2 linked regions of the Oryzias latipes genome follow. The protein of the gene in region 1 interacts with the protein of each later gene in a biochemical or structural test. Links are inferred from orthologs where the notes say so. Each region holds a gene or a part of one and is shown on either strand. Other genes may lie near its edges.

Region 1 (4,064 bases):
CAATCCCAAATCCTCAAACACACAGCCTTTTTCTCATGATCTAATTTCCAAGTTAAGCAGACTGTGTTAGTCCCTCGTCAACACCACAGGTTTACTCGCCTTTACTAATGGGGCTCTATCCTGATAGTTTTGCTCTTGCGTAAATATGCAGTCAAATAGATGTACAACCACCGACACGTGGCTGACGGCGCTCGGCAGCCTCACCTTGATGTTTGTTTCATACAAATACAGTAAGGGCTCCGGGAATCAGGTTAACACTGCAGCCCCTGGACTCCCTTTTAGAAGAAAAGCTGACACATATATTTACCTCCACTACTTAAAAAGCTCCTCACAGAAACAGTTGCTACTATTTTAGGAAGGATGGAGTGAACTGCAAAAATTCTGTAAATTTAACGAATAATGAATTACATGTTACATCACAATGGATATCGACTTTATTATTTTTACTGAATTGGAGTAAAAATAAAAATGTGCTAAGTGCACATAATTTAAACAAATCTGATTTTTTCAGTTTACAGAATTTGAAGATTTAACATTTGAAGAAATAACCGAGAGAGGGCGCTCTGGCGCTGCGTCTGGTTTATTTACCATCAATGAAAACATTTGGAAATATTTTAATTCACTCATGCAGGTCGAGAAACGCACCAAACACTAAAAAAACGAGCGTTCTCTGTAAAAAAAATCACCTTCATTTTTATTGTTTTATGATTTTTTCTGAGAAATAAAAAGGCATTGTTGTGTTTCAAATTCGAATGTGACTATAAGTAAAGAGCTGCTGCAAAATAAACGAGCTTTACCTGTTTTTTTTTAGCTTAATGATTAAAGGCCGTTTTAAATCACAGCTGTGTTGTGCGCACGTGCACATATGTGAACTCGTTGCAGCTTTTAGTTCTTTAACATCCTTGAAAAAAAATTGTCAAAAAATTGACATATTCCGTAAAAGGTACTGTTTTTTTAGTATAACCTGATACACAACAAGGACCTATTCTTGTGTTTTGCGCAAAAGAATCATGTAAAAACAGTCTCATAAATGAATTGATTTTCGTATTTTGTGGTTCTACTTTAAAATATTTAACAGTTAAGACCAAAATTCCTTGAAGGTATCAAAAGGTTATGATTTTAGCATTGCTGAATGAGAAAAACTCCGTGCGTAAAAGGAACTCTGAAAGCGCACGACATTCCTTTCCCTTTTATTTCCCCCTTACAATAAGATTAGTTTTAAATGAAGCTTTTCATATGAAACTGTTCTTTTCACTCAGCGCAGGTGTACAATTGGGGTTGGGGGGGATGAGAGGGGGAGCCTGAGGAGTCTCACGCCTAGGTGCGAGGAGATTATTCAAATAGGGCCCAAGGCGTAGAAGTAGGGATTGGAGGCTTGCCTGGCGCACAGAGCTATATCACAGCGTTAACGAGCAGCACGGAGCGTCATTTGAACTCCGCTCACTGACAGACGCGTCGCGGCTGTCTGTGCGCGACACACATGCGCCAGCCCTCGACAAACGGACACGCCGACCACCCAAAAACCCTCAGTGGTCCCCAGTCACTTGCTGTTAGAAAGACTTTTTGGCTTTTCCTCTGCTGGGAGACGCTTCGTTCAAGTCCTCCATGATGCTTGGAGCAGTTAAAATGGAAGGACACGAACACACCGACTGGAGCACATACTATGGAGAGCCCGAGGTGGGTACCTTAAATATAAATATATATATTTTTTTCGGTCTAAAGCCGATCCCATTTAATACAACTCAATATTAGCCCTGAGATAATATTAACTTTGTGATCAAATATTGACTTGAGGCGCCTCCAAATCCTCCCCCATCTCCTCGCAGCGCGCTAACCTAACAAAGTTGACGGATATGCGACGTAGAAACTTTCCCCTCAGATTTATTATTAAAAAACAAATTTAAATCATTTTTTAATTCATTTAGAAAATGTGGGGGATTTGCCTTGTATTTTTTGATGGAAATTTTCAGCTTATGTGTTAGTTTCATTGATTTTTTTCCATATAAAAATGTTAGTAGTAATTGAGTTTTACGCAGTGAAATTAACATACCCGTAATTGTGTGTTATTGAATATTCATTTTTTTGTATGATGCCAAATTTCATGAACATTTCTTCCCCCCTTCACTGACAGTGTTACACCTCTGTTGGAAACATGAACACCGGCCTGGGAATGAACTCTATGAACACCTACATGAGCATGTCCGGCATGAGCACCACCGCAAACATGACGGCCAACTCCATGAACATGTCATACGTCAACACGGGCATGAGCCCCTCCATGACCGGCATGTCACCAGGCACCGGAGCCATGAACGGGATGGGAGCAGGCATGACGGCTATGAGCACAGCCCTGAGCCCCAGCATGAGTCCTATGACCGGACAGCCTGGGTCTATGAACGCCCTGACATCCTACACCAACATGAACGCCATGAGCCCCATTTACGGACAGTCGAACATCAACAGGTCCCGAGATCCAAAGACGTACCGGCGGAGCTACACGCACGCCAAACCTCCGTACTCCTACATTTCTCTCATCACCATGGCCATCCAGCAGTCACCCAGTAAGATGCTGACGCTGGCCGAGATCTACCAGTGGATAATGGACCTCTTCCCCTTTTACCGACAAAACCAGCAGCGCTGGCAGAACTCAATCCGCCACTCTTTGTCATTCAACGACTGTTTCCTCAAAGTCCCCAGGTCGCCGGATAAACCCGGAAAGGGCTCCTTTTGGACTCTTCACCCGGACTCCGGCAACATGTTTGAGAACGGCTGCTACTTGAGGAGGCAAAAGCGCTTCAAATGCGAGAAGAAGATGTCCATGAAGGAGCCCGGCCGCAAGGGTGGAGACGGCGGCTCTGCCAACAGCAGCTCGGACAGCTGCAACGGCAACGAGTCCCCGCACTCTAACTCCTCCTCCGGCGAGCACAAAAGGTCCCTGTCGGACATGAAGGGGAGCCAGGCCCTGAGCCCGGAGCACACCGCGCCCTCCCCGGTGTCGCAGGGGCAGCACCTCATGTCTCAGCATCACTCGGTCCTGGCGCACGAAGCCCACCTCAAGCCGGAGCACCACTACTCCTTCAACCACCCCTTCTCTATTAATAATCTCATGTCATCGGAGCAACAGCACCATAAAATGGACCTTAAGACTTACGAGCAGGTGATGCACTACTCTGGATATGGCTCCCCCATGACCGGAGCGCTTTCCATGGGCTCCATGGCGGGTAAAGCCGGCCTGGATTCTGCATCTATACCCGACACATCCTACTACCAAGGGGTCTATTCCAGGCCAATCATGAACTCCTCGTAGGCTCCCTGTATGCAGACTGCCCCCCACCCCCATTCCAGTTTGTACATTTGTAAAAAACAAAAACAAAAAAATATAGACTTTGTGTACTATATGTATTTGAGATATTTTTGACCTTTCTCACCGTTTTAGTTGTTGAGCTTGTTAGACTGTAAGGAGAATAAAGTGTTGCGCTTCAAAGATGGACCCCAAAGACACAAAAACTGCTGTAAGATATTCACGTTTGCATAAGTGGACACAGAAACCAGTTTGAATTCTTTGCCAGATCTGTTCAGTCATTTGTGTATTTCCTATTTATGGTCTGTATATGTGTATTCTTGTAGTGACAAGAATAGAATCTATATTAAAGTGTTATTGTTTTGCTTTCTGAACATGTCGGTGTTTAAATTATTATTTTTAACATTATCACAATTGTGCAAAAAGGAGTTGAAATCCCTGTTTTCCAAGCTATATAAGACGGAAACTGGAATTTAGGCGTTCAATTTGCATAAAGTACAAACAGTAACAACGTTTATTCAAACTGTATTCCTAATTTTTCTATTAAATAAACACACAAAATATAAATGTGACCAAGAATAAATTATTGGGCAATTAAATCGATCATGAAATATCACAAATAACCTGTCAAAAACACAAGGAGTTTAGCATGTTTGTGTCTTTTTTTATTCAATAAAAAAACAAACATATTCTCACCCACGTGATGCTCCAATAAAGGCGCATACTTTCCACAGCGGATTAATAGATTTGCTTCATAAAACCG
Region 2 (4,255 bases), about 3.4 Mb from region 1:
ACAAACGTGGATGTTTGGCAGCCCTCTTCCTCCAAACGGAAGCTGCTGACACAGCTCGAAATTCAGACAAAAATCCCGGTCGAAGTTGCATTCATCCTCTCCCCTCCGATCGAAATCTGTCAGCAGAGATGTCATCTTCGGAGCAGGCGCGCCATGCGTGCGTTTTGGGGAGCTCCGTGCGAGGCGCTGCGAGAAGAGCCGCTCCTCGTAGCAGCTGCCGCAGCACCTTTGACTCCGGCCTTTTCCACGCGCGAGAGGCGAACGACGAAAGCCGCGGTCTGCCTGTGTTTATAAATCTAAATCAATATTCAAATCTGGGTGAAGTGAGCGGGTGTGTCCGTGCAGGCGTGCTGTGGTGTGTCTGTGTGTGTGTGTGTGTGTGTTTGTCAGAGAGAGTGTGTGTAGGTGTTCCACAAAGCCTCTTAAGATGAGACATTTACCAAGCCGTGACAAAAACCCTCCAGTTTATTTTGAGACGCAGGTTCACCATTTAAGTGACGTAGCTTATTTGACAGCCCTTCATTAATTATTACAATAATACCAAAAATATTACATAGCAACAATAATACAGTATGACCACATTTTCACAATTTTCACTTTAAAAGTGGCTTACCTTTGCATAAAACAAAAATTTGTAAAAAATAAAAATAAAAAAGCAAAATTGCCAAAAAATCGTAAAATTGCTCCCTATTGTTTCCCCCCAAAAAAATAACAAAAACACGCCCCCCCCCCTCCATCCATCCATCCATCTCACCACGGTTCTTTGTGATTATTCTCTTCTCTGTTGGACGTGCAGGTGCCTCAGCCACTACAACCCCCCCCCCACCTGTAAGTTCTGCGCGTAAACTTCCACGCAGGCCCCGCGTGGGGCGGACGGCAGCAGACTGGCTGCTTCTGTGGACGGAAGGACACTTTAAAGAAATAAGTCTCTCTAAATCTTCTTTTTTTTGCGACGCACTGGAATGTGAGAGGACGCATGGAGAGCTCCCCCATTATTCCCCCCCCCCCCCCCCCCCGTTTCAGATCATTTTATTTAAGCTTTTTGAAATCTTTATATTCAAAATTGGGTATGATAAACTGGACATTTCAAAGGTATTTTATTTCTTTTATTTTAGGAGAAAAAATAATGGTAACATAAAGAAAATAATGTTGGGTTTTGGTTTATTTTTCGCCTTTTTTAAAGCCTCCCAGTTTGATGCCTCAATTCAAACACAAAATCCAACAAAAGCAGAAGTAAAGGGGAAAAACTGTTTTCCCTCTGATTTAAACTCGCTTCTTCACCATTCGCATCCATATCGTTCGTTTATCTTTGAGTGTACCCTCTCTGCGGTGGGATGGGGATGTTGTCAGTCGCCCTCTCGCTGCCATTGGCTGAGGAGTGTGCGTCAAAAAAGTAGCTGGAGACATTTGTTACCCTGGAAAAAAAAGAGAGAAAGAAAGACACCCTCCCCACCAGTGTGAGAGACGGAGAAGGAGACAGACCCCAGCTCGCTCCTGCGGCTCCCATTGGCTGGCACTTTGTACAAAATCTAACTCCAACCACTTCACTCTCAACACAACGACAAATCCTGAAGGCGCACACGCAGCCTCCTCCATCTCTCCTCCGCCGCTTCAGATCCTGATGAAGGCGCTCAACGCTCAACTTTTATCTGCTCTCTTGTTCTGCTTTGAGGAGACCTGGTTCGGTTCCTGCTCCGCTCTGTGATCCCATGATATTTATTCGTTTTTCAAGCAACAGGACTGCTCGTTTTCAGAGAGTTTTACCATTTATCTAAAGGAAACTGTGTTTTCTCAACATTCACGCTACGGTAAGTCTATTATTATTATTATTATTATTATTATTATTATTATTATTATTATTTGAACATAAGATTGTAAGGCACTATTAAACGCCTCTTAAAAATTATATTTTGTGAAAGTAAAACTTAAAAAACGTTTAAAGAAAAATAAAACTTTTGCAATTAAAATACAAGGAATGGTGAAAAACCTTTTTAGGAACCTGATTATGGAGAAAACTGAACCTCTACAATGACAGGAATGTCATTGATGCACTGTCAGTCCATAAAAAAATAACTAAAAACAAACATTTGATTTGAATTCAGTTTGAATTCTGTTAAAAGAAAGGAAAATGTAAGATTTCCAGTAAAGCATTTTTTTTTAAATAGAAAAGCATTTTTTTATTCATGGAAGTCAGACTTGAATTTTTTTTACACCATCTGTTTCTGAAACTGAACCCAAAAACGGATTTAGATGAGTTTTGGTGGATTTAAAACAGGAAAGAAAGACGACAAGGAAACAAACGACTTCATCTTTGTACTTTTTACGCACCAAACATATCACTGGAGACAGAACATTTAGGCCAAATCTCCAGGGCCTTGTTGTGTCTACTGTATGTGCCTGAGCAGATAAATAATTCAGAGGACAATAAACCAGCATGTCACATTTAATATGTTTGGCTACTCTTTGGGGGCAAACTCTGATTTCAAATGTCTGTTTGAAGATTTACAAATCGAATATTTGTTTACAATTTATTTGTATTCTTTTTTTCTTTGTATTACTAATAATTGTAAGAAAACATATTTACATAGTTTGTTGAAGAAATCTATTGGAGTTGAGTTCTGCGGTTTACGGTGCCTGCAGGATTTGTGTCTGCACTGACACCCTGCAGACAGACAGCAGCTCAACTTTCCTTCCACACGGATGTCCTCTTTCATTTATCAACTGCAAAACATTTATTATAATTACTGGTTGGACACGGGGTAATTATTATTGCGCGTGCGCGCACGAACTGCCGAGTGTTTGAGGTGACAGATTGGGTTGAGGGGGTTAAAACCGTTGGATATTGAAGGGAGGAAAAATGCAACTAATCAAGAGGCACAGTGGGGATAACGGGTGGCAAGGATCACTGAAGTTGAAGTGACAGCAATAACGTTTACAGGCGACCTCGCGGCGCGCATTTTATCGCTGTTTAAAAGTCACACGATCCACTTTGAAGGGTACTGTCTTTATTTTCAACTCTAAAATTACTTTTATGTGAAGATAATGAATAAAAATCACAAAAAATAAATTTGTTATGTCATGTTTGTGAGTAAAATGCATCAAAATGTTTGGTTACTTTAAAATATTTCACTTTATTTTGGGCTTTGGGAATTTTCGCAGGACATTATAAGTATTTTTTCTCCAATTTTATATGAAATCTTTTACTTTTTTGAAGTAGCCCCTGCGACTTTAATTAAATTTTCAAGTGACTTGTTGCGGTTATAACGCGCATTGTTTTTGTTGGCGGGAGGGGTGAGGGGGATTGAAGCAATGAGGACAGCTGGAGTTGTCGCCGGTCCTTTACGAGAAAGAGCTCGCATCCAGAGAGAGGGCTTTCAGATTGGAGCTGGTGGCACTTGACGGACCTCCGCCTCTTCATCAAGCTCCTTTTCTTTTTTGCCCTCTCCGAACAGGTGACGGGAACACGGGGAACGCCGGGAGTGGAGGACAGCCAGAGCGCATCGGGAGTTACATCCATTTTCAAAATTTTCTCCAACTTCAACCCCCAAACAAACATTAGCATGATGTCGTATCTAAAGCAACCACCTTACACGGTCAATGGCCTGAGCTTAACTACCTCTGGGATGGATCTTTTACATCCGTCAGTGGGATATCCAGGTAGGATTCCACGATTTTGATTAAAAGATATCCATAATAATGTAGATTTAAATAAAAACTATTAAAATGTATCCAGCATGATATTACCCATCAACTTCAGCCCTTTTGTTTTTGCAAAAAGCTAAATTTAAACTAATTCATTTTTTACTTTAAACTTTTTTTATTATTATTTGAAATATAATGTATTTTGCCTTATATATTTATTAAAACAAACCCAATTGTTATGAAGTGCTTTTTGTGTAGCAATGTTTCACCTTGCAGTCGTGCGTCATTACGCAAACAAAAGACTTTGGAAATTCCCCCATTAGTTTAATTTTATACTCTGATGGCATTAAATATTATTGCTTTAAGGAATGTGTATACATCAAATAACATGTTTTTTATGTATTTTTATTTATTTATTTTATTTATTTATTTTTGCAGCTACACCACGGAAACAGAGGAGAGAAAGGACTACTTTTACGCGCGCACAGCTCGACGTGTTGGAGGCGTTGTTCGCCAAAACGCGGTATCCTGACATCTTTATGCGGGAAGAAGTGGCGCTGAAAATCAATCTTCCCGAGTCCAGAGTACAGGTGAGACATATAAATATATAAAA

What was found. The genes of interacting proteins can lie anywhere in the genome.
Region 2: the proteins of foxa2 (region 1) and otx2 form a complex in vitro, tested with the Homo sapiens proteins (2 studies listed by BioGRID). The link is inferred for Oryzias latipes from reciprocal best matches to the Homo sapiens genes FOXA2 and OTX2.

What each region holds. Positions count from the first base shown.
Region 1 is NC_019880.2:16,307,766-16,311,829, forward strand, and holds foxa2 (hepatocyte nuclear factor 3-beta), read left to right. Parts: upstream 1-1,437; 5' UTR 1,438-1,605; coding exon 1,606-1,677; intron 1,678-2,131; coding exon 2,132-3,307; 3' UTR 3,308-3,555; downstream 3,556-4,064. UniProt on the Homo sapiens protein: Transcription factor that is involved in embryonic development, establishment of tissue-specific gene expression and regulation of gene expression in differentiated tissues.
Region 2 is NC_019880.2:12,878,910-12,883,164, reverse strand, and holds the start of otx2 (homeobox protein OTX2), read left to right. Parts: upstream 1-1,450; 5' UTR 1,451-1,808; intron 1,809-3,452; 5' UTR 3,453-3,560; coding exon 3,561-3,657; intron 3,658-4,080; coding exon 4,081-4,232; intron 4,233-4,255. UniProt on the Homo sapiens protein: Transcription factor probably involved in the development of the brain and the sense organs. Can bind to the bicoid/BCD target sequence (BTS): 5'-TCTAATCCC-3'.